Saccharomyces cerevisiae S288C: one gene and its partners. Changing the gene in region 1 together with any one later gene gives a genetic interaction. Each region holds a gene or a part of one and is shown in the gene's direction. Other genes may lie near its edges.

Region 1 (4,610 bases):
TCCTGTGAGTGATAAATTCTTCGACTTTTAAGGCACCTTTTTGATAGTCTTTAATTAAACCGCCCATTTCAGATCTACCTTTGATGCCACCAAAAGCAGAGCCTTTCCACACTCTACCAGTGACCAGCTGGAACGGCCTTGTAGAAATTTCTTCACCAGCGGCAGCCACACCAATGATAATAGATTGACCCCAACCTTTATGACAGGCTTCCAAAGCATCTCTCATAATTTTGGTATTACCAGTACAGTCAAAAGTAAAATCCAGACCCCCATCAGTCATTTCAATTAACTTTTCAACGATAGTTTGATCTTTGGCCAAATCTTCCTTGGGATTAACAAAATCCGTGGCACCAAATTGAGAACAATATTGTTTTTTCTTATTGTTAATGTCAATGGCAATGATCTTGGAAGCGCCCCTTAACTTTGCACCTTGGATAACGGAGAGTCCTACAGTCCCGCAGCCAAATACTGCAACGGTATCGCCTTTTTGCACATTAGCTGTCTTAAGAGCCGCCCCAAAACCAGTAGTAACACCACAACCCAGTAAACAGGCAGCATCCAAGGGAGCTTTTGGATCGATGGCAACCACAGAGACATCTGCCACCACAGTATATTCGGAAAAAGTAGAGCAACCCATGAAATGGTATATATCTTCACCTTTCGCATTATGAAATCTTGTGGTCCCATCAGGCATTACACCTTTCCCTTGAGTAGCTCTAACAGCACCACATAAGTTGGTTTTACCGGAAGTACAGAACTTACATTTGCCACACTCAGCAGTGTACAAAGCAATAACATGATCACCAGGCTTAACTGTTATGACATCATCGCCTACAGATTCTACGATACCGGCTCCTTCGTGGCCCAGAACGCAAGGGAAAAGTCCTTCTGGATCAGAGCCTGATAAAGTGTACGCATCAGTGTGGCATACAGCAGTATATTCAATTTTGATACGTACTTCGTGCGCTTTTGGGGCGTCTACCGTGATTTCTTCAACACTTAATGGTTTCTTCGCATCATACGCAACAGCAGCAATGCACTTAATAGGTTTACCAACAGTAGCGGCGGACATTGTACTTATATTACTTATATTCCTTCTTTACTTGGAGATTTTGTAGAAGTAAACTTAACGATTCAAGGGTCAGTACTTTCTCAAGCTGGTATAAGCACACGGATGTCCTTCCCTTTATAAGTGAATTTTTTCATCTTTCTTCCTCTATGAAATTCCATTATTACGTAACTTACAGAGGTAAAAAGACCCACACACCGCATGTCTTTATTGAAAAAAATGCCTCTATAATAGTATACAGTTGATAATAATGGAACCAAGTTGCCATTCGACTGAGGCACTTAAGCCATTCAAGGGAAGAAAATTAAAAGATGCTTTATTTTTATTTGTGGTAGAAAATAAAACTAGCCCCGTAAGTATTATATAGTGAATGTAAGAAAATAGGCCAACAAATTCTGACACTAAATACTATTAAGTGACTGCTGACTTTCGGTTGTCACCTAAGGGGTTCTTGAAGTAATTATGGATATTACGCAGAAAATAATCGCATTTATAAGCAACAACTGTCACGATTGACCTGATGCAAAGGAAATTAGGAATATATATGAGTGTAGAAGAAGATGGTAATATCCAAATTTTAAATTTTCCTTCTTACCGCCTTAAATCAATACCATGGATTAATCATTCAAATATATGCAGAATCATGTTAATGGTTCTTTTTGTCTTTTCTGTGATGCATATTCAGTAGTCTGTGATGAGCATCCCCCCACAAGAAGGGCAATTTGATGAAATTCTTACTAGCGCCGTTCGGAACGAGGTAAGGGCGCTTTTTAAAGGGAAAGAGCGTATCATTTGATAAGGATAAATTGAAATCAGTACCAGCGTTAAATGCAGATAGTTATATCGTGTTCATAACCGCTACTGAAGAGTCATGGAGGATAAGGAGAAACTTATTGTATACTCAAATACCAGTTCGGTATTTACATATAGTGCAGAAATAAGGCCAAATTTTAAAATATCTGTATCTCAAAGTCAAGGTTTTGCCTGGAACCAGGACTTATTCGCCACACAATACCAACAATCATATAAGGTGGTATATGATGCACACGAGGACAACTTTGATGAGTTAATTTTGAAGATCAAGGGCAAATTAAAGACAAAATCTAATAAAAGAGCTAAAATGAAGTCTAAGACTAAATTAACAAGGACTGCAAAGCAGAGAAGGGAAAGCCCCGTTTGTGAAAGGGACGAGAGTGACGAGGATAATGATAGTGATCACTACCAAAGAATACAAGTGCTAGATGGCCATGAATTTCCGAGAGCAAATCGGTATAAATCTGTATGGGCTCATGACGTCCACTCGAATGAAGATAGTACAAGCGACGGGGAAAGCAATCATGATATAGATATGATTGGCGGCACTGGCACGTCGTATGCAGGAGCAGCCATAATGGATAGGCCACGCAGGAAATCTGAGAGAAGCATAAGCTTTGTGGAGGACTCCAAGACAGGCGATTACAGGTATCAAACCGGGCAGGTGGATGTTGTAGAGGTGGACTCGGACACCCCTGAAAATAATCACCTAAAATGGTTAATTAAATAATTACTTCTATGTCTCAACGTTAGCATTTCTACATTGTATAGGTATAAATTGTTTTTGAATCCGTACGTCCTACAAAAAAAAAAAAGAACATATATATGTTTGTGTGGTGAAACAATAATTTAAGACACCCAGGGGGCGGGGAAAGAAAATATATGCTGCTCAGGCAAAATTAATATTGTAATCTAATTCGTCAATCATGTGGACCAGGTCATGCTCACTGATGCCATCAGCCTCGTTTTGCCAAATTTTCCGTATCAATAATCTAGCATTTTGGAAATTGTAACATTTATATCGTTTTAAAATGTCGTCAAATTTGGCTTCCAAATCTATTTTTTTCTCCATATCTTCTACCTGAATGCATACACCGTAAATGAAAAGTGGGAAGCATAACGATCCTTCCAAAAAAGTTCCGATGACCTTGTCTAGCTTCGAGTCCAATTTGTTTCTCAGTATCTGTAGTTCCAGCGAATCTTTGTCAATCTTTAATAAAGTTAATTGAAAGAACATTAAGGTAGAAATTTTCATTATCTCGAATAGTTCTAAATAGTAAAATTTCTTTTCATCATCCAAATGTTCCAGCGCCATAAGCGAAGGTTGTAATTTATAAATCTCGACTTGCAAACTCAAAATTTTATCGCCATGCTCTAGCATTTCTTCCTGTTCCATAGTCTGCAAAAACCTCGTCAAATTTGTGACTTGTCCCAATAGTAGTAAAATAGGCTTGTTGATGCCAATTAAAGGGTCTATTTCCTCAATTGGCGAGTCTATTGACTCAATAAAGTTGGCTGAGCTGGGTAAAGAGTTCTGATCCCTTTGGAAGAATTTCTCGTATTGTTCGATCGGGAAGGACGTTGTATTGAAATTCAAAATATCATGATATATAAAATTCACAATCAGCCAGTACTTAACAACGGAATTGAAATTGGGGAAGATTATCCTCTCCTCTAGGGAGGGTTCTTCTGTAGTAGTGGTTAGTATCCGTGAGACATCCTTGCCCACATGGTTTTCGATCAAATTTTTTCCTATATTCAATAATATCTTCCAAAATTTCACATCACCCTGACATATCTCTGAACCACATAAGATTAGGATTTGTGCTAGTGAATATAGAAACCCCAGTTTAGCACAGGCACTTGAGCCCTCGTTTGTCTTTAGATGCGATAACGACATGTATGTATACTTGTTCGCCAAGTTGACAAATATTTCATCCTTTCGCAGCTCATTTGATGATGATATAGACAAATGATTAGCTGACCAAGCAAGAATAGCAAACAATATACCATCATTCTCGTGGGCCATTGGCAAGAAAATGTTCAGATAGTAGTTCTGGTTCATGGGCGCGATGGAAATTATGTTTGCAAGGTGAGACCTGTAGTAGTTGTACAGCTGCAATCCCATAGAGTCCAGCTTCTGAGAAATGCAATCTTCCAGCGGTTTTGACAAATATACCTGGTTATCCTGTTCGTCGCTACCGACCCGTCGAGTACGGGTGGCCACGGCCGCTTTCTGAGCACTGTCAGGAGCATGCTTTCTTTTCTTGCTGATCAACTGGTGCTGTATATCTGCCTTTATTTTTTTCAAAGACTGCTTATCAACAGATTCTGATATATAGATACAGGGAAAACTTAATCGACGACAGTCCCGGCACACAGGTTTATCTTCAGAGCATCTCTTCTTTCTGATCTTGCAAGTAATACACCCATGCTTCGAATATTTCAATTTCAGCTTCTCCACGCCATAATTCATACCTCACTTTAAAAAACTTTGTTTTCTTGGCATCCATACATGAACAATAACAACAATTCTATATCATCTTAAGTAAGACTCTTATTGTAATTTCTTTTTCTTTGATGACTCAGACCCTGGTAGCCCTACCGTTCAACCCTATACAGCGCAAATTTGGTCCTAATACACTTCGGTTTTAATGCGTCAATCCGATTGGCTCCGATAAGCTTTTGCACATTTTTCAAGTCATATGTCACGACGAACGTGATGCCC
Region 2 (10,557 bases), on another chromosome or scaffold:
CATACAGATGTTCATCGTAAGAGTGGATAAAGCGAATATGAGAGCCATATTGGTTATTCCAGAGGCTATCTATTTTTTAAGAGAAACTGCTTGGTTAAAATTTGCATAATATTGTCTCGGAGAGAAAAGATAGAACTCAGAAGGACCTAATTAATCATGAGCGTTATAATACGAAGAATTGAGATAGAGTGTATGATCTGCGGATTAAGCTCCTACATAATAACAACATTGTACTTGGGACTATGCCAATTTCTTTCCCACCAAAAGTCGTATGAAAAAGGTTATCTTCGCTAGGGCTTCCATTAGGTGAAAGCCAATATATTATCATAGAATAGCACGGCATAAATATATATTTTGTGCTGTCTTTTTGGGAAGGGTAGTTTGACAACCCATGTACATTAACATAAAAAGAGCTTTATCATTAACGGACGAAGAAAGAATGTGTATCGCGTATTTTTAGACTATCGATAATCTTTTTTAAAGTTATGGTAGATAGAAGATGGAATCAGTTACGAAGTGATGAGTTCCCATACATTCCAGCCTGTTTACATTAGCTAATTTAAAAAAAAAAAACATAATTAGAATATTACGTGATGACTCAGTTTAAACGGTACTCTGTAACACATCATTTCTATTTGTTGTTCTAAAACAGGTTCTACATATTTGGATCTGCTGTGAGAATGACCTAAAAGGTAAAACTCTCTTTGTAATAATCCAAGGAAAGTGGGAGTTCCTTGGGGAAGCTCTATTGCAATATATTGTAGTTTCCATTCAGCCTGCTTATCGCCTTAGGAAAAAGGAATGTAAGAGGCAGAAAAGTGCGGCGCAATCGTTCGGACAGCGAGCCGCCATTATAGGTAAGAATACTTAAAGAGCTTCGCCGGATATTATTACAGTGTATTAAATTTCGCCAAGTCTTTGCCAATGGAAATGGGTGCATAAATTTATGTGCTTGGTACATATGAGTTCAATAGATATGTAGTAGTTGGATAGTAGATAGTTAGGATATATAATCATGGAAGGGTTACTCACAACGAATCACATAATGAGTTATGATTTTCACTGTGCTCATCTGTTGCCCCTACAAGGGGTGATCAATAACAAACAATTTCATTAAAAAAAAAAAAAAAACTAAGTCACTATAACTAAACGTAATAACTATGTATATGAAAGAAAATAATATCTGTTCGTCATCTAGTTTAATACGGCAACGAGTTTTTCACCAGAGTTCTTACCATATTTGATGTCTTTTAGGATATGAGGAACATCACAAAGCCCGTTCTTATAGACCCTTACTGGAATATGGCGAATTTGTCCATCATTAATCTTTGGATTGATGAATTTGATAAATTTTATTGCAGCTTTCCTAGCTTCTGAGTCGGCTGGTAAAGTAATGTTTCCAAATGGTACTTCATGGCCACCTATTGAATATAGCCTTATTATGTCAATAGTAACGTTTTGTCTCCTGTTCTCTTTTTTGACGTTTTCTTCTGTCAAATTTTTTAATTCAACAATTGTAGCATCCTGTTTATCGGCCGCACATTTGTACACTTGTTGAAGCGTATCTTGATTCGCGACACAGTCGACTAAATACGAGATATTGTTGTACTTGTGTTTAATTTGTTCTACCACGTCAATATCATGATAATCAAATAATTCATCAGCACCATATTCTTTCAAAAGTTTTTCGTGCTTCCGAGAAGCCACAACAATGATCTTGGTGAAGCCATTCAATTTATTGGCTAATTGGATGAGCGACTGACCTACTGCAGTTGCACCGCCCCATAATAAGATGGGGCCTTTTCTTTGTGGGGTTGATGGCTCCCACTTCAGGTCCAAGCCCAAGTTATAGGTCAACACCAAGCCGGCTGTGGTCAGTGACACTGGGATAGTGGCTACACCTTCCAAAGACCTGACAGGGCCGGCAGGTAGAACATCCTCACCCAAAAATTTGAGTTCATTGGGTGATTTGTAGGCAACCACAGTTGAAATAGCAGAATATTCAGCAAAAGCACCATTGGAAGGAAACCTTACGGAAGATCCGTGAATGAACCCATAAATATAATCACCGATAGAAAAGTCTTTAGGATTGACAGCTGGGCCCAATTTGACAATTTGGCCAGCAGCATCACATCCCAGAATAGATCCTTGAGGCCCGATCTTGTAGTCAATGTGTGCCCAATCAGTGGGGTTACCAGCAACAGCGAGTGTCTTAATCAATACGAATCCTTCTTCCAATTCAGGAATGGGAATGCCCTCTTTAACAACCGCTTTACCGTCTTCAATGACGACAGCCTTCATGGTTTCTGGAATTGCAACTTGCATGTTTGTAGGTTATCTGTAATTGTCGTTGATAATCTGTATTCAGCTTGCCATTTTATAGAATATGGTTAGAAAGATCTTAAGCTAGATAAAGAAAAAGAAAAAAATAGAAAAAAGCCTGCCCGCTTTATAAGAACTTTTCTCAATATCTGTTGAGGAACACTTAGTAATATCGTCTATCATGGTTGCTTTATTCTTAGTGATATTACTCTCTGGGATTCGATGTGTTCTCATCATCTGAAGGGTTTTCTATGTGTTGAAAGCCTATCCCACTAGACGGAGCCGCGCGTCAGCCGGGCGGATCCGAGACATCTTAGTCAGCTGAGACAAGAAAGGCACAGCTCTCGGACAGGAACTGCTGTCATATGAAAACCTAAAAATGTTTCCTGGAAATTCCATGACTGCGCAAAGTTTGATACGTTTATTGTTCTTCTCCACTACCGCACTTTCTATCTCGGAAACCTTTCAACTAAATGAACTATTGTTAATTGTATGGCGTGTGGCCTTTCTATTTCAGAAAATTTAGAGTAAAGTAAACTCCGTCGGACTAGTATAGTAATGAAACAAGCCATTGACTCTGCAGCATATTGCGACCAAAACCTGGAAATTGGTGGCTATGAGTTTTAATTTATAATTATATGAAAACAAAGCTTGGAATGCTGAGTACTTTTTCTTCAATGCTGCTCACTGCCCAGAAGCGTTCAGAACAACTCTACTGGAGCCATTCTGCTTGAAGGAGGATAAAAATGCCAAGATCAAGTCTTTTAAAGATTCTATCCCTTTTCATCGAAGAAGCACTACAAGTTTATTTTACAGAAGTTGACAAACTGTGGAACTTGATCCATACTGAATAAGTATGGAAAACTGTTAACTTAGAGGATGCTCTGCTTTCTAAAGAAGTTTCACAGCTTTAGACTCACATGGGTTCTCATGAGTATTGCTAGCTAGTGCGAGTTTGATCTATACTTCACAGACTTTTAACACCCCGTTCCTTAAGTTTTCCCTGATTATCAAGGGTATTTCCAATTCTTACTCCCCACTATCGCTCCTTTCTTATCTGAATTGTATTTTTGAGTGGCCTAATTGTAATCTTTTATTTTGTTTTCTAATTATTGAAGGCGGTTTCTCGAAGCATTTCACGATTTCCAAAATTCAAGAATTGAAATTATGAACATAGAAGACAAAATACTTTTTTTATCAACTATTAATACACCTTTCCTAGAGAACATTTTTAAAATAAAATAAAATAAAGTAGCGCTCTCTACTACCCTTACACTTTTCTCCTTCATATCTGGCTAGAAAAGAGGGATTACATCTCGGAATCAAATATTTCCCTCTGTGCAAAGTTTTAATACTGCTACTACGAACTGGTTACAATTTTATTTTTATCATACACGATACTTTGAACATCAACTTCTCTCAATACCATCCGCCTTCAGCGGCTACAATTACGTAATTGCACCAAGGCATTCGCCGAGAGTTCACAAATTGCAGACCCTAACAGTATACGACTCCCAACACACGTTTAATGTTGTACGAATTCAAGAGATAGAAATGCTTCTTCCGCGGAAGCCGTTTAAAGCACTGAAATTAGGCTTAGACAATAGACTTCTGTACGAGGGTCCAAATCTAAAATTCAGATATTCTTTTTGACCGAAAACGGAAATCACAGGCGCGCAAAAGGGTTTTTCAAGGTACCCCGGCATCCCTATAATAGGCATTCCCACATTCTGCGCATACGAATACACATGAGTGCCATAAAACAATACTCCACATACGAAGTCTATGAAAGATGTATGATTCGTTCAGAAACAAGAGCATTTCCATACTGATAATGAGATTGTGTGAAAGATGAGATATGGAGGATATGTGAGGTGCTAAATGAGCGTCTGTTAACGAATCGTTTAAATAGTGATGACTGATGAAGGCATGGGTATAAATAGAGCTGCTTCAACTGTATGCCTTTGAGAATATGTCTTTATTCCTTTCTTTCCTGTTAAGCTTATATCAGCACTAACAAACAAAACAAATACAATGGTCAAATTAACTTCAATCGCCGCTGGTGTCGCTGCCATCGCTGCTACTGCTTCCGCAACCACCACTATAGCTCAATCTGACGAAAGAGTCAACTTGGTTGAATTGGGTGTCTACGTCTCTGATATCAGAGCTCACTTGGCCCAATACTACATGTTCCAAGCCGCCCACCCAACTGAAACCTACCCAGTTGAAGTTGCTGAAGCCGTTTTCAACTACGGTGACTTCACCACCATGTTGACTGGTATTGCCCCAGACCAAGTGACCAGAATGATCACCGGTGTTCCATGGTACTCCAGCAGATTAAAGCCAGCTATCTCCAAGGCTCTATCCAAAGATGGTATCTACACTATCGCAAACTAGGGACGAGTGCCTCTACGAATGAAAATTCATAGACAGTAAAAAGTAATGAAAAATAAAATAAAAACTACTTTTTTTTGATGATATAAATACCGTAGATTATATAAATGTATATTAATATTATAAACCTATTTGATCAATGACAGTGTTCGTGAAGCATTTTATGAATACGATAAACATAAAAAGAAACTTTTACACTATTCTAGAAAAAGGGTGGATGGTAATAAAGCTAATAGAGTATGTCCAATAAACAATAATGAAATTGGAAGCGCATGACTTCTCAGCACTTTGTCTTTCCATAAAAATGAGTCGCTGCTTCTTTTTTCATTTTTTGGCGCGTCGCGTCGGGCCGTATAGAATATGCGTCACTTCTAAGAACAAGATTGCAGATCAGGGCAGTGCGAGTTACGGAGTCATGGTATCAAACTCTCATTTAGAGACCCTCATTTTTTGACACTGAAAATATCAAAATTTCTGGGTTGCGATAGTTTTTGTGTAACCGTAACCAGAAATAAAGCTGAAGGGTTAGTGTTCTATCAACAATAAGATAGAGGGTGGTAAGATGAAGTGAGACAATATCGTAACGTCCGTTTCAGTATACGCCGCTGATAAGTTATATTACCGTAAAATTATTTGACATTTCGTTATAGATCCTATTAAATAACGTACCTATCACAGTATCGTCTTGTTCAGATATAGTCTCTTCGTATGAGTAGTGTCACATACAAGATTAAAGATGCATCAGTTATGCTTTTAGGATATTGCGGATAGCATATGGGAATGGAAATAGGATACAATTTTATCATAGCACCCGCATGAGTGTCAACACAGTACCATATTATAGCACAGTGAATGGAGAGTGTTACGACAGTGAGGTAGCATATTATTCTAATGTATGGTCTGCATAAGTACGAAATATTCTGAAATGGCATCCGTTCAAGCAAACTGCAATATTAAGGAACTTTTACGTTAATGACGTCATGGTAGTGTTCATACTCCAAGTCAATATGTTTTTGTATTATTGTTGAAGAATAGAATATTTTTATGTTTAGGTGATTTTAGTGGTGATTTTTCTGTAATATTGGCATAAGTGTATTTAAATTGAGTGGTTAGTATATGGTGCAAAAGTAATATAACGTATGTATTAAGAGCATTTTTACAATATTCGAGGCCACTGAATGAGATATAGATATTAAAATGTGGATAATCATGGGATTTATGGGTAAATGGCACAGAGTATAGACCGCTGAGGCAAGTGCCGTGCATAATGATGTGAGTGCATTTGGCACTGATTTAGTGAGAGATGGGCCATGGAGTGGAGTGGAATATGAGAGTAGGGTAAGTTGAGATGGTATATACTGTAGTATCCGTGTGCGTATGACATATCAGTATACAAGTGAAGGTGAGTGTGGCAAGTGGTGGTGATGGTATAGAGTGATAGGGTAAGTATATGTGTATTGTTTACGATCATTTGTTAACGTTTCAATATGGTGGGTAGAACAACAGTATGGTGAGTAGTAGATGGGAGATGGTAGAGGAATGGCAGGGTAAGTGGTGGCGGAGTTGGATATGGGTAATTGGAGGGTAACGGTTATGGTGGACGGTGGGTTGGTGGTAGGAAGTAGAGAGGTGGATGGTAGTTGGGAGTGGTATAGTTGAATGAGACAGGGTAACGAGTGGGGAGTAGGGTAATGGAGGGTAAGTTGAGAGACAGGTTGATCAGGGTTAGAGTAGGGTAGTGTTAGGGTTAGGTGTGTGTGTGTGTGTGGGTGTGGTGTGTGGGTGTGTGGGTGTGGTGTGGTGTGTGTGTGTGTGGTGTGTGGGTGTGGTGGGTGTGGTGTGGGTGTGGGTGTGGGTGTGGGTGTGGGTGTGGTGTGTATATCTATGTCACCTTATTGCATGCTGGATGGTGTTAGACAAGGCCGTAGGGACATATAGCATCTAGGAAGTAACCTTGTACGAAAATAGGCAATATTTCCTGTTTGACGCAGATTTTAGCCCAAAGATCTAGCGTCAAGGAATTTTTTTATAGTGGGACATTGCAAACCAAGGAAGTAACTTGATACGTCGTTGGTGAATGGGTCTGTTTTCTTATTCGGCGGGGTAATACATTTTTGGGGGAAGTTTGTCTGTCTGACGCGCCATATGTAGGTACGCCAAAAAGGGCTCCTCTACTTCGAAGCGCGAGGTCGTATACCTAATAAGGAAATGTAATTTATAACTTTTTATTATATTGGTCTTTTCGAGAGCGGAACGTAGGTCCATGTTTAAAGTATCCAAGAGAATATCCACGAAGCGGCTGAGCAACGAACAGAATCCTGGTTCTCCTCGACTAAGCAGATAGTTAAGATACTGTGCACCATGGAAATTGAAAACGAAAGTACGTACCGACTACTTTATTTTTGCAGGCCGGAAATCAAGCGATGAATGAGACATCCTTCTGTTTTCTATGTTGTGCTTGAAGGGGACAGACAGTCGCTTATCTTAGTGAGATTTTGTTTGCTTTTGCTGCACCTGCATAGCGCAGATTCTGCATCTTCTCAATAGCTTAATTATTACATTCTTAGATGATGATAAGACGAAAACTGGACAATCTTTTGTTTATATTGATGGATTTCTTGTCAAAAAGCATAAAAATCAACATACTATTGTTAATTTCGAAACTTACAAAAATAAAATGAAAGTTTCCGATAGGCGTAAGTTTGAAAAAGCAAACTTTGACGAGTTTGAGTCGGCTCTAAATAACAAAAACGACTTGGTACATTGTCCCTCAATAACTTTATTTGAATCGATCCCCACGGAAGTGCGGTCATTCTACGAAGACGAAAAGTCTGGCCTAATCAAAGTGGTAAAATTCAGAACTGGTGCAATGGATAGGAAAAGGTCTTTTGAAAAAGTTGTCATTTCCGTCATGGTCGGGAAAAATGTAAAAAAGTTCCTGACGTTTGTTGAAGACGAACCAGATTTCCAGGGCGGACCAATCCCTTCAAAGTATCTTGTTCCCAAGAAAATCAACTTGATGGTCTACACGTTGTTTCAAGTGCATACTTTGAAATTCAATAGAAAGGATTACGATACCCTTTCTCTTTTTTACCTCAACAGAGGATACTATAATGAGTTGAGTTTCCGTGTCCTGGAACGTTGTCACGAAATAGCGAGTGCTAGGCCGAACGACAGCTCTACGATGCGTACTTTCACTGACTTTGTTTCCGGCGCACCTATTGTAAGGAGTCTTCAGAAAAGCACCATAAGGAAATATGGGTACAATTTGGCAGCCTACACGTAGATGAGCTATGCAAGCAAGTTTACCTGGCGAAAAGAAAGTCGACACAGAGCGGCTGAAGCGTGATCTATGCCCACGTAAACCCATTGAGATAAAGTACTTTTCACAGATATGTAACGATATGATGAACAAAAAGGACCGATTGGGTGATATTTTGCATATTATCTTGCGAGCATGTGCACTCAATTTCGGGGCGGGTCCCCGTGGTGGCGCTGGTGACGAAGAGGATCGATCTATTACGAATGAAGAACCCATTATTCCCTCTGTGGACGAGCATGGCCTGAAAGTATGTAAGTTGCGCAGTCCTAACACTCCACGAAGACTCAGAAAAACACTAGATGCCGTGAAAGCTTTATTGGTGTCGTCTTGTGCTTGTACCGCAAGGGATTTAGATATATTTGATGACAACAACGGCGTTGCAATGTGGAAATGGATCAAAATTCTGTACCACGAAGTAGCGCAGGAAACCACGCTGAAGGACTCTTATAGAATAACTTTGGTACCTTCTTCTGATGGTATATCAGTATGTGGAAAACTTTGGGGAGAGTTGAACAACTGCTTCCATATGCCAGCCTCATTTTGCGTAATCGAGAAGTTTTGTTCAGAGAACCGAAGCGAGGAATTGACGAGTATCTGGAAAACGATTCTTTTTTTCAAATGATACCTGTTAAATATCGTGAAATTGTGCTGCCCAAGTTGAGAAGAGATACTAACAAAATGACCGCGGCTCTTAAAAATAAAGTCGCTGTTGCAATTGACGAGCTTACGGTGCCACTTATGTGGATGATCCATTTTGCCGTAGGATACCCTTACCGTTATCCAGAGCTTCAGCTACTCGCTTTTGCCGGTCCTCAGCGCAACGTATACGTCGATGATACAACAAGACGCATCCAACTGTACACTGATTACAACAAGAACGGTTCATCGGAGCCTCGACTAAAGACGCTTGACGGACTCACTTCAGATTACGTGTTTTATTTTGTCACTGTGCTAAGGCAAATGCAAATATGTGCGCTTGGTAACAGTTATGACGCTTTTAATCATGATCCTTGGATGGATGTGGTGGGATTTGAGGATCCAGATCAAGTAACAAATCGAGACATTTCGAGGATAGTTTTGTATTCCTACATGTTTCTGAATACCGCGAAGGGCTGTCTGGTTGAATACGCAACTTTTCGGCAGTACATGAGGGAACTTCCGAAGAATGCACCTCAGAAGCTGAATTTTCGGGAGATGCGTCAGGGGTTGATTGCCCTAGGACGGCACTGCGTAGGTAGCAGATTTGAAACAGATTTGTACGAGTCGGCGACGAGTGAACTCATGGCCAATCATTCCGTTCAAACAGGGCGAAATATTTACGGTGTGGATTCCTTTTCGTTAACTAGTGTCAGTGGGACGACCGCCACTTTATTGCAGGAACGAGCTTCCGAGCGCTGGATTCAATGGTTAGGCCTTGAAAGCGACTACCATTGTTCATTCTCTAGTACTCGGAATGCGGAAGACGTAGTGGCAGGTGAGGCGGCGAGTTCAGATCATCATCAAAAAATTTCAAGAGTAACGCGAAAAAGGCCCCGAGAGCCCAAGAGTACAAACGATATCCTCGTCGCAGGCCGGAAACTCTTTGGCAGCTCCTTTGAATTCAGGGACTTGCATCAGTTGCGCTTATGTCATGAAATATACATGGCAGACACACCCTCTGTGGCAGTACAGGCCCCACCGGGCTATGGTAAGACGGAGTTATTTCATCTCCCCTTGATAGCACTGGCGTCTAAGGGCGACGTGAAATATGTGTCGTTTCTGTTTGTACCGTACACAGTGTTGCTTGCTAATTGCATGATCAGGTTGAGCCGATGCGGTTGCTTGAATGTGGCCCCTGTAAGAAACTTTATTGAAGAAGGTTGCGATGGCGTTACTGATTTATACGTGGGGATCTACGATGATCTTGCTAGCACTAATTTCACAGACAGGATAGCTGCGTGGGAGAATATTGTTGAGTGCACCTTTAGGACCAACAACGTAAAATTGGGTTACCTCATTGTAGATGAGTTTCACAACTTTGAAACGGAGGTCTACCGGCAGTCGCAATTTGGGGGCATAACTAACCTTGATTTTGACGCTTTTGAGAAAGCAATCTTTTTGAGCGGCACAGCACCTGAGGCTGTAGCTGATGCTGCGTTGCAGCGTATTGGGCTTACGGGACTGGCCAAGAAGTCGATGGACATCAACGAGCTCAAACGGTCGGAAGATCTCAGCAGAGGTCTATCCAGCTATCCAACACGGATGTTTAATCTAATCAAGGAGAAATCCGAGGTGCCTTTAGGGCATGTTCATAAAATTTGGAAGAAAGTGGAATCACAGCCCGAAGAAGCACTGAAGCTTCTTTTAGCCCTCTTTGAAATTGAACCAGAGTCGAAGGCCATTGTAGTTGCAAGCACAACCAACGAAGTGGAAGAATTGGCCTGCTCTTGGAGAAAGTATTTTAGGGTGGTATGGATACACGGGAAGCTGGGTGCTGCAGAAAAGGTGTCTCGCACAAAGGAGTTTGTCACTGACGGTAG
Region 3 (11,840 bases), on another chromosome or scaffold:
AATAGATAAAGGTACGTATAAGATTAAGAAACAGCCACGAAAGAAACAACAGTAAATTCCAAAAAAAAAAAAAAAAAAAAAAAGAAGAAAACACAGAAGGGGGAGTAAAAATAAGTATACCGCTGCTATTGCATATATTCGAGCATTTCATTCATGTATTTATTAATATGACCAGATAATAAAGAATATTCAATCTCAATTTCTTTAACTTCAACTTCGAAATCTTTTTGTAATTGTTTAATTTCATCATTTAATTTATTGATTTTACCACTGATCAGTTCCTCTTGAATGAAAATGTCCGTTTTGTCAATCTTAGGTTTGATTTCATTTTCATATTTGATTTGTAGATCCATCAATTTAGTATCATTTAGGCGCGACTCTTCTTTAGTATCTTGCGATAGCTTTTCCAAATTCTTGAGTTGCAAATCTAACTGTTCTTGTAAGATTTCTAATTTATACATAATACCTGTTTCCAATACATTCATCAATTTCAGCTTATTGTTGATTAAATTTTGCTTTAATCCCACAAGTTCCGTTTCAGTTCGATTAGACTCTTGCACCTCGCTGGAAATTATTCTCAGCACATCATAGAGCTCACTAATTATGGTTTCGAACGTCGTCACTGTATCTTGCAAGTTTTTCTGTTGTGCGGTTAAGTCGTCTAACGTCTTTTTCCTTTGTATCAACAGATCATTTAGCTCTTTGATTCCCTCGGATAACTCTTCCATGTCTGTATTGGATATTTTGATCAGTTTATCTCGATTGGACTCTAATTCCACTATTTGGAAACTCAGAGCTTCCAGATCTTTAAAGATTGACTGCTTGGAGATCTTATAGTCATTATAATCTATGGATAACGTTTCTTGGATCTTGGTCAATTTCTTCAACTGAATTTCCAGCTCCTTATTTTGCTCTTCCAGCTTTTGGAGCTCTTGCTCATCAGGTATATTATCCCCATCTACGTCCTCGTATTGCTTTAGCTGTTGCTGAATCAAGTTATAATCATCGAATTTGGAGCGAAGCTGACCCAGCAACGATTCCATTTGAAGAATAAAAGAATTACAGTCGAACATTCGTTCCTCCCTAAAACGAGCGTAATTCACCACAGCACTCAGTAAGCGCTGTGTCCGTTGGGCTTCGGGCTTGTACAAATCTGTCATATTGAAATCTTGAACACCTATGTTCTCAAAGAACTTAAAGCAGATTTTGTTCAATACCAAAACATTTAACGTGTCCAAATAAATGTTCTCGTTCTCTTCCTGTAAGTGACCATCCCCTGTTTCTTGGTTACTACTATTCAGCAACGACTCTACAGAAATACCCATGAAGTTCTCGATGATTTGTTTGTAAAGGGTTACCATGTAGTCTGAGGTGGGCCTAGAGATATTTTCCTGTGTGGCTAGCGCAAAATCACAGCTTTGCAAACATATAACTAGTTCCTGTAGATCCAAAATGGGGAACACATCTTGATTCCTACTCATTTTGCTCAAGGGATGCTGGAGCCTTTCTCCTCAGTACATGCTTTTTACCAGTATTTTTTCATAATATTGTTTATTTTAATTGTTATTGTTTGTTACATGTCCCGATTCGGAAAAGCGATCTTTTGATCAAATGGCTGGCACCATCAAGAAGAGAAAGAACGCTGATATATTCGACTAACAAGAAGACCATTATCAAAACCAGATAGGTGTATAAGTATGTCAGAAGAGAGGGAAGAAAACGGGATATCTAGGGCTACGCTGAATACGCAGCGACTTTCAGCAATGATCGATTCACTGAACAATGAGAAAGATGACAGGCTCTTTCCATCTCCCACAACTACCAGGACAATGATCACAGAGGAAAAGGCGGATCAAAGTGATGTCTTTAAACCACCATCGAGATTGTTGAGATCACCTGCTGGTGACGTTTCGCTGCCACCTGGTGATAACAGATCAAGTATGATTTCCAACTACTCTGGAATTATTCAAGAAGGCGTTGAAGTATCATATGTGGTCAAAAACCGGCAACAGACCCAAGAACGGCGCACAAGTAAGGATTCCAATAGTTTGTACTCCTTGAAAGAGCCCGTGAGCAAGAACGAGTTACCGTCGTTGCCCATGTTGCCTTCAGAAGCGACATTGACAAAACATCTAAGTGATAACCAAAGCACAAAATCGAATACCAATGCAGACGAAATTGTCATTAAACCAGTTACTAATGCCAAACCTGTGGGAAGGTTTAACTCTAACACTTCAAAAAAAGTAGAGGGTCGTGGCTCACTGAAACTGTTATCTAGTCCTCTACGTCAGGAAAAAGTTATGCGTTCCTCTATAGGATCAGGTAATTTGGCCAGCGAGAGCGGATCTTCCACTTATAATACCAAATTCCATCAATCTATTCAAGAGCAGCTCGAAGAAGAAGAGGAAGGAAATGTTAGCGATAAGCTTTCAATTGTTTCCAGTGTCATACCCGAGTTGTATACAACCACCAACGAAGCACCCAAAGCGATAAACCCAATACGTTCTGAAACCAATGACTACAATCCAACTATTCCGCCCAGAAGTAAGGACCGTCCTAGGTCAAGGTTGTTCATCGAAGAAGGTGATGGCGAGGGGGATCTTTTAACCGAAGAAATATTACCAACGCCGGTCCAACCTGGTGGCCACTATAAGAACTCATCTCAGATTTCCACAGTTAGTGAACAAAAATCGGAATCTTACTATTCTGCGGCAACGAGTATGCCTCCAGAGGAAGAGACTTACTTGACAAGACCATTGCCCAGCACACCCAATGAGGATAGCAGAGTTACATCGAATTTGAAACGTGACGACACATTGAAGGCTATTCATGATAGGGCAAATCATACCTCTACTTCGACAAACAAACAAGATGATGACATGTACGAGGACATCATTGAGGAAACGCCCAAGAAAACTAAACTCAAGAAGGATACGAAAAAAAAGCTCAATAAAAAAAAATCTGTGAAGGAATTGCGATCCTTTGATATCGACACACTAAATCAACTGTTGAGTGTGACAAAGGGAACCTTAATCGGGTCTGAATTTGCGCAACTGGGGATGAAAATTGAGGAGAAACGTGCCCTGGAGAGACTAGTAGACTCTTTGTCCAGGTTAACAGCAGACATGGTTCTTGATCCGGACCGCTATGAAGAAGGACTGAAAAGATTAGACAAAGCTACAAAGGCTCTTGAAGGGTTTTGATGGTGCAACAACAATAATAATAGTAATAGTAACAGTGGTAGTAACAATAACAATAACAATATCAATATCAATATCAATAATATATTATAATACTAATAATGAATAATAATAATAGCAATAAGTATAGTATAGTATAGTGGTAATATATAAGTTTCTTTCTCTTCCGGTTTATTTACAAGTCATATACAAATAAAAAAAAGTGATAGTAATTCAATGGCTTGTATTCATTGATACTTGGACAAGTCCGGCATACTTAAAATTTCCTTCTCTTTATTTTCACTGAATTCTTGTAGCTGCTTCAGCAATTTAGAATTGGCCCACTTGTCAGGCAAGGGGCTGGTTTTGAAATTTTTTGTGGCCCAATAGTATATGTCCCAGTCCAACTCATTCAATAGCGAATCGTATTCTTCCAGTTCCTCTTCGTTCATCTTCTTCAAATATTTGGCAGCGAACCCAGATAGCAGCAAGTCCGTCTCCAAGATCCCTCTTTTGCGTGATTGATATATCAACCGAGCTCTTTTCTTATCCAATGGCTCGTTAGTTCTCTTTATGGGGGCAATTTTAATCCTCGTCACCACATCGTCGTGGTCATCTTTATCACTACTAAACCACCTACGACCGCACGACCATGCAGCGGACCCTGTTTGAGAGTTGATAATCTTGTAGCCTTGCAACGACAGTGTCTTTGTGAGTGCTGGAAACATATTGTGCATTTATGTGCTCCTTTTTAAAGTGTACTCCCTTTTTTCCTCCTGTTCTTTTTTTACAAATTTCGCCTTTCTTATATATCCTAAATATACTTAAAATCTAGTCTCTTATGAAATCTGTAAGAAACAGCATAATGTCGCTCCTTCTCTTCTATTTCCTATATATATCTACATATCACCAAAGAACGTGAGAATGGGCAGGAAACATCTTGGTGATTCGTTCATTAACCGGCGGAACAATCTCTTGTATCATTGTAGTCTTTTTCACTACACACAGTTGTAACTGTGGGAAACAGTTTGCGCGTAAAAGTCCCAAGTTAATCAGTGTCACAAGTACGTTTTCGACGTTCTTGGGGGAGTGAATGCCATTATAAATGGTAATTTCCTGGGCGCCGGGATCCTCGAATGTCGGACCAATAGATAGCTGTAGTACCCGTTCTATCAAGGAGTACGGTAATTTGTTCTGACCCCATTCGGTGGTCCAGGACTTTATTACCGTTTTAATCAGATTTCTGTACGTTACCATGGGCAGTTTCTCTAGGAGCACGATCAGTAACTGTCTTGCACACAAATGACGCTCGTTTTGTCTCAGCCAGAGACTCACGCCTTGAATATTCCCATAACGTACGTGTTTGTAGAGAACACTCCAATTATCAATTGTTTCTTGGGAAAGGAACGGTCGCAACGGTCCCCATTTGACCATCTTTCCCAGTATCAGCCCTGTAGGGATCATGTAATTTAGTATTCTGGTGCCATTCCTAGTGATCGCTTGGTTCGTTAACGGCAAGTTCAATAAGGACTGGAAAGCTTCATTGAATTGAACGAAGGCATTATGTACTTGAGAGTTCAACAAGTAGTACCTTCCTAATAGATATCTGTATTCTATTTGCTGGTCGAGCTGGTATTCGTTGAAATGTGCAAGCATGCTTTTTGGCTGAAAGTTCTTAAAGATATTGGAACATAATTGCGGTGACTCGATCCTGAAGTAGATGTTATTTAGTTTATTGACCAGGTAGAGCAGTATTCGTTGTTTTCCAGGTATATTTGTAGAAGATGCGTTACCTCGTGGAGGTTTGATGCTGTTAAATAGTCTTGATAGGATGGACGATATATGTGATAGAAATTGGTGACTTCTCGTATGCAGTTGCAAGTGGAAAGAGTCTAGTTTCCCAGCGAGATTGATGATAAATTCTGTTTCTCTAGTTGCTACTGGTATCAACATTTCTATGTGAGGAGCATTGTCGTTGATGAGACAGTTGATTAAACATTGATAAAACTCAAAAATTAGATCCGAACTGGACCAGGCTGACCATGGGTCGACATCTCGGGCATAATTTAAAAAGGATGTACACATGATTTTGAATCTCGTATCATTGGGCATAGCCGGGTGTTGTTCTACAAACGTTTCTAGCTGTTTATCATCAAATCCGGTCAATTGCTTCTGTAAGATAGCAATTTCCCTACCATTTTGGGACAAGTTTAGCGTTAGGTGGGAAAAATTTCCATGTGCTAATTCATCTAGCAACTGGTTGGCCATGTCCATTGCTATCTATCCTTTTATCCCTGCCCTGTTTCTTACTTTGAATGCCATTGATGTGAAGATGGTTTTTTTTTTTTGGAAAAGTATAGAAGAGAAATTTGACGTATAAACTTAACTATTAAAGGGAGAGAAAGTCAACGACATAAAAAGCAAACACAATAGTCTACAAATAATGTCTATGGAGCCTCCTGTGGGGCTTACGGCTATGCCCGTCACCAAGCTAGCCATGATCACGACGCTTGTGGTTCCCTTAGTTGCCTCGATTGCAAGTTACAAACATATATTTCTATTGCAATATGATCCTTTTCTGCAGACCTACCATCAATACTACCGTCTGCTCATATTCCAGTTCTGCGCCATCAATGAATCCGATACAGTAATACTGGCGTTGATATGGTATCTGTTTAGGCATTTAGAACGGCTACTAGGATCCCACAAGTACTTGACCTTGATTGTTTTGTCATGGGCCTACACCACCTTAGGAATTTGGGGATTGAATCTGATCTGGAACGCATTTATTGGACAGTACAAGTGGCTTCAATGGAACAATTTTAGTACAGGTTCACTGCCCATTGTTTTAAGCTTAGTACATTTTTACAAAGAATACACCCCTCAGATTTACGAATGGAATATAAGATTACTAGGACCTCGAGGAGGAGCATCAAGTCACAATGATAACAAGCGAGAAGACAAGAGCGCCGTAGAGTGGAAAATCAACGATCAGTTTCTTTTAAATGGGTTAATTCTCCTGCTTATATTAAATCAGGGGTTTGCAGGAATACTATGCGGATTCATAAGCTGGATGTGTGGTATTTTCATCGATAAGGGCCTGTTACCGGGATTAGACCATTGGAGAATACCGTTTGTATCCTATTTCATCTCTCAAGGCCCACCCACGAGGGCTAACGTTGCTATAGCGGCCAATGCGGCCACGAATACAGCAGCAGCAAGAGCCACTGTAGAAGCAGCTACTGCTGCTACAGGAAATGGAAATACAGGCAACTCTGGGCCTACAAGCCTACCGCTTCGTGGTTCAAGCACCACCCCTACAAATACCTCTAGCGCTGGTGATGACGAGCCTGGTGCCGATGAACCTGCAAGACCACTGGGAGTCCAATTTTTGGATACCTTTAGGAGATGATTTATATCAGCATATACCTACATAAACAAATAAACATAGCAACGGTTTAGCAACATCGTTTACAGCCATGTGAGGCAGTTACTTCTATCATATGTCTGGCTTTAGTATTGTTGGGTTGACACTTATACGAAATATCAGAAAGTGAAAAAAAAAAAAGGAAGGATCTAGTGATGAGATAAACGAATTTGTGATGTAAATGCAGAAGTAGGCACAAGTGCTTGGCAGTTTTCAAACGATCATCGTATTTTAAGCTACAATCACCAACGCCAAACATCCACTTGCAGCCACTATGTCACAGCAGGAGAATGGTGATGTGGCCACTGAATTAATCGAAAATAGACTTTCCTTCTCAAGAATCCCTAGAATAAGCCTTCATGTAAGGGATTTGTCAATCGTTGCATCCAAAACAAATACGACGCTAGTTAATACGTTTTCCATGGACCTGCCCAGTGGGTCGGTCATGGCAGTTATGGGTGGTTCGGGGTCAGGGAAGACTACGTTGCTGAATGTTCTGGCATCCAAGATCAGTGGTGGGTTAACTCATAATGGTTCTATACGGTACGTATTGGAAGATACAGGTTCAGAACCCAATGAAACAGAGCCTAAGAGGGCTCACTTGGATGGCCAAGACCATCCCATCCAGAAACACGTAATAATGGCGTACCTACCTCAACAAGATGTACTCTCTCCTAGGTTGACTTGTAGAGAAACTCTTAAGTTTGCAGCTGATTTGAAACTAAACTCTTCTGAGCGAACCAAGAAATTAATGGTCGAGCAATTAATTGAAGAATTAGGGCTCAAGGATTGTGCCGATACTCTTGTGGGGGACAACTCGCACAGGGGTCTTTCTGGTGGTGAAAAGAGAAGACTAAGTATTGGTACTCAAATGATTTCAAACCCTTCCATCATGTTCTTAGATGAGCCTACCACTGGACTGGATGCATATTCTGCCTTCTTGGTTATTAAAACTTTGAAAAAATTAGCTAAAGAAGATGGCAGGACTTTTATCATGTCAATTCATCAGCCGAGATCGGATATATTGTTTTTATTGGACCAGGTTTGTATTTTGTCAAAGGGAAATGTGGTATATTGTGACAAAATGGATAATACTATCCCTTATTTTGAGTCTATTGGTTATCACGTACCCCAGCTGGTAAATCCAGCAGATTATTTCATTGATTTATCAAGCGTAGACTCTAGATCTGATAAAGAAGAAGCTGCCACGCAAAGTCGGCTAAATTCATTGATTGATCATTGGCATGATTATGAGAGAACTCATTTGCAACTACAGGCAGAATCTTATATAAGCAACGCAACGGAAATTCAAATTCAGAATATGACTACCAGACTGCCATTTTGGAAGCAAGTTACGGTGCTAACAAGGCGAAATTTCAAATTAAATTTTTCAGATTACGTTACTTTAATATCTACTTTTGCAGAACCGTTGATTATTGGTACTGTTTGCGGTTGGATTTACTATAAACCTGACAAAAGCAGTATAGGTGGTTTAAGGACAACAACCGCATGTCTTTACGCGTCCACAATTTTGCAATGTTACTTGTATTTGCTTTTTGATACTTATCGACTTTGTGAGCAGGATATTGCGTTATATGACAGAGAAAGAGCAGAGGGCTCGGTAACACCTTTGGCATTCATCGTAGCTAGAAAAATTTCACTTTTCCTCTCTGACGATTTCGCGATGACCATGATTTTTGTCAGTATAACATATTTTATGTTTGGATTGGAAGCAGATGCAAGGAAGTTTTTTTATCAGTTTGCTGTTGTATTTTTATGTCAGCTATCATGTTCCGGTTTATCTATGTTATCGGTGGCGGTATCGAGAGATTTTTCTAAAGCTTCATTAGTAGGAAATATGACATTTACGGTATTATCGATGGGATGTGGTTTTTTCGTTAATGCTAAAGTAATGCCCGTGTATGTTCGTTGGATTAAATATATTGCCTTTACGTGGTATTCATTCGGTACTCTCATGTCAAGCACCTTTACGAATTCGTACTGTACTACAGATAATCTCGATGAGTGCTTGGGTAACCAGATATTGGAAGTTTACGGGTTTCCTAGGAATTGGATAACCGTACCTGCCGTTGTCTTACTTTGCTGGTCTGTGGGATATTTTGTAGTAGGTGCAATTATTTTATATTTGCACAAGATTGATATAACTTTACAAAATGAAGTGAAATCGAAGCAAAAAAAAATCAAAAAGAAATCCCCAACAGGAATGAAACCCGAGATTCAGCTGCTAGATGACGTGTATCATCAGAAAGATTTGGAAGCGGAGAAAGGAAAAAATATACATATTACTATAAAATTAGAAGATATAGACTTACGAGTCATTTTTTCTGCCCCTTTCTCAAACTGGAAAGAAGGCAACTTCCACCATGAAACAAAAGAAATTCTACAATCAGTTAATGCCATTTTCAAACCTGGAATGATTAATGCAATTATGGGGCCATCAGGGTCTGGAAAGTCTTCTCTGTTAAACCTAATCTCCGGAAGATTAAAATCTTCGGTCTTTGCCAAATTTGACACTTCAGGTTCAATAATGTTCAATGATATTCAAGTTTCAGAGCTTATGTTTAAAAATGTATGCTCGTATGTCTCGCAGGATGATGACCACCTTTTGGCAGCTTTAACCGTTAAAGAAACCCTGAAATATGCCGCTGCATTAAGATTGCATCATCTGACTGAGGCAGAACGAATGGAGAGAACTGACAACCTAATAAGGTCTTTGGGTTTAAAGCATTGTGAAAACAATATCATTGGTAATGAATTTGTTAAAGGTATAAGCGGTGGTGAAAAAAGAAGAGTAACTATGGGTGTGCAATTATTAAACGATCCTCCGATATTATTGCTAGATGAACCAACTTCAGGGTTAGATAGCTTCACATCCGCTACTATACTGGAAATTTTGGAGAAGTTATGTAGGGAACAGGGCAAGACGATCATCATTACCATTCATCAACCAAGGTCAGAATTATTCAAGAGATTTGGTAATGTTTTGCTATTAGCTAAATCGGGTAGAACTGCTTTCAATGGATCACCAGATGAAATGATTGCTTATTTCACTGAATTGGGATATAACTGTCCTTCGTTTACGAACGTGGCAGATTTCTTTCTTGATTTAATTTCAGTTAATACCCAGAACGAACAGAATGAAATAAGCTCAAGGGCACGAGTAGAAAAGATACTTAGTGCATGGAAAGCTAATATGGATAACGAAAGCCTTTCACCAACCCCAATTTCTGAAAAACAACAATACTCTCAGGAGTCATTTTTCACAGAATACAGCGAGTTTGTAAGAAAACCAGCTAATTTGGTTTTGGCGTACATAGTGAACGTTAAAAGGCAATTTACTACGACAAGGAGAAGTTTTGACTCTTTGATGGCGCGTATTGCACAAATTCCAGGATTAGGTGTTATTTTCGCATTATTCTTTGCCCCAGTCAAGCATAATTATACAAGTATTAGCAATCGTCTAGGATTGGCACAAGAATCTACAGCACTATATTTTGTGGGCATGCTGGGGAACTTGGCATGTTATCCAACTGAAAGAGATTACTTTTACGAAGAATATAATGATAATGTTTATGGTATAGCACCTTTTTTCTTAGCTTATATGACATTAGAGTTGCCGCTATCCGCATTAGCTTCAGTGTTATACGCGGTATTTACAGTACTGGCATGTGGGTTACCAAGAACTGCAGGCAACTTCTTTGCAACCGTCTACTGTTCCTTTATTGTTACCTGTTGTGGCGAAGCTCTTGGTATAATGACAAATACATTTTTCGAAAGGCCAGGCTTCGTCGTTAACTGCATTTCCATTATTTTATCCATTGGTACTCAGATGTCAGGGTTAATGTCACTAGGCATGTCGAGAGTATTAAAGGGTTTTAACTATTTGAACCCTGTAGGGTATACATCTATGATCATCATTAATTTCGCATTCCCAGGTAATTTGAAATTAACCTGCGAAGATGGCGGGAAAAATTCAGACGGTACTTGTGAATTTGCGAATGGCCATGATGTGTTGGTTTCTTATGGTTTAGTCAGAAATACGCAAAAGTACCTGGGAATCATTGTGTGCGTAGCCATAATTTATCGCCTTATTGCATTTTTTATTTTAAAAGCAAAATTGGAGTGGATAAAATGGTGATTGGAAAAATACTTATAGACCTGTAAATTAACGGGAGGAACATCGTTATTATTTTCCTATGATTTTTTGAAATTTATTCTCCTCAAAAATCATATACTACTTTTTCTTTCAGAAATTATGGAGCTTGAAAAGGCTGCTGATATAAAAGTCTTGCGATACATGTTATTTTATCTACCTAAAAAAAAAAAAATAAAAGAAAATTGTCTATCTGCGACTGCTCTATAATGGAGATGTAATTTTTGTTCATAAATTTCTTACACTTTTTTGGATGCCTAGTAATGAATTTTTAATGTTCTTGACATTTTCAGCTTTAACATCAAGTTCTTTTAACAAGTTGCCACATTCATCTTTTTTTAATTCTTCATATGCTTGTACTAAAGCTTTAGAATAACCTTTAAATACATCATCGCAACAACTCCTCAACTCCTTGAGGGAGTTTTTGATTAGTTTTTGAATTTCTTTATCTTTGATTCTCTTCAAACTGTCTAGTGTTTTTAAGGTTGCCATTTTAGTAAGGTAAGTATGGGATACCATCCAGTTTTGTTTTGCATTTATTGGGACTTTCATCAACCTAGAAATTAAATCATGTAGATTTTTACCGTTATTTTCGTAAATTTCGAAAAAAATCAGAAATGACGCTGACTCCACTTCAGTTAAATTATTATTCAACAACTCTTCAAGGTTAATTGATGGAAGTTTTTTTAAGAGCGCACTTATTTGTTCCGTTTTCTCCCCATTTGGCAAAGCTTCAATAATAAGTTCTCTTATCAAAGTTAGAAAAATTGATTCTTCATTCAAGTTAGCATATTCCAAAATTTTACCACGGTTAAGAAATTGGGCAAAATTTTCATCTAATATGGAAAAGTCTCTATTGTCAGAAAATGATACACTTTGCGTCATTTCTAAAGATCTCCAATCTTCGTGTAATTTTTGTAGTAGGTGGCCGCGCTTGTCGTTGCATAAACGTGAGAACTGTAAGTTTTCTAAAGTTTTGGTCCATCTTGTATAGGATTTCATTAGTTTATCCCTCATCTCGAGCATTCCTAGTATTTTGCTATATGAATTTCTTTCGAAT

The links.
Region 2: mutations in UGX2 (region 1) and PAU4 together harm fitness more than expected from each alone (negative genetic interaction), as found in Saccharomyces cerevisiae (one large-scale study listed by BioGRID).
Region 3: mutations in UGX2 (region 1) and NBA1 together harm fitness more than expected from each alone (negative genetic interaction), as found in Saccharomyces cerevisiae (one large-scale study listed by BioGRID).

The regions. Positions count from the first base shown.
Region 1 is NC_001136.10:156,066-160,675, reverse strand, and holds UGX2 (Ugx2p), read left to right. Parts: upstream 1-1,940; coding exon 1,941-2,612; downstream 2,613-4,610. Other genes in the region: SFA1 (bifunctional alcohol dehydrogenase/S-(hydroxymethyl)glutathione dehydrogenase), read right to left, coding at 1-1,072; UGA3 (Uga3p), read right to left, coding at 2,772-4,358.
Region 2 is NC_001144.5:1,058,563-1,069,119, forward strand, and holds PAU4 (seripauperin PAU4), read left to right. Parts: upstream 1-4,356; coding exon 4,357-4,719; downstream 4,720-10,557. Other genes in the region: YLR460C (uncharacterized protein), read right to left, coding at 1,195-2,325; YLR462W (uncharacterized protein), read left to right, coding at 7,394-8,002; YLR464W (uncharacterized protein), read left to right, coding at 8,010-8,522, 8,802-8,939; YRF1-4 (Y' element ATP-dependent helicase protein 1 copy 4), read left to right, coding at 8,525-10,557.
Region 3 is NC_001147.6:188,583-200,422, reverse strand, and holds NBA1 (Nba1p), read left to right. Parts: upstream 1-1,697; coding exon 1,698-3,203; downstream 3,204-11,840. Other genes in the region: histone deacetylase HST1, read left to right, coding at 1-55; kinetochore-associated Ndc80 complex subunit NUF2, read right to left, coding at 126-1,481; succinate dehydrogenase assembly factor SDH5, read right to left, coding at 3,428-3,916; THP1 (Thp1p), read right to left, coding at 4,086-5,453; DSC2 (Dsc2p), read left to right, coding at 5,623-6,591; YOL075C (uncharacterized protein), read left to right, coding at 6,881-10,765; MDM20 (Mdm20p), read right to left, coding at 11,009-11,840.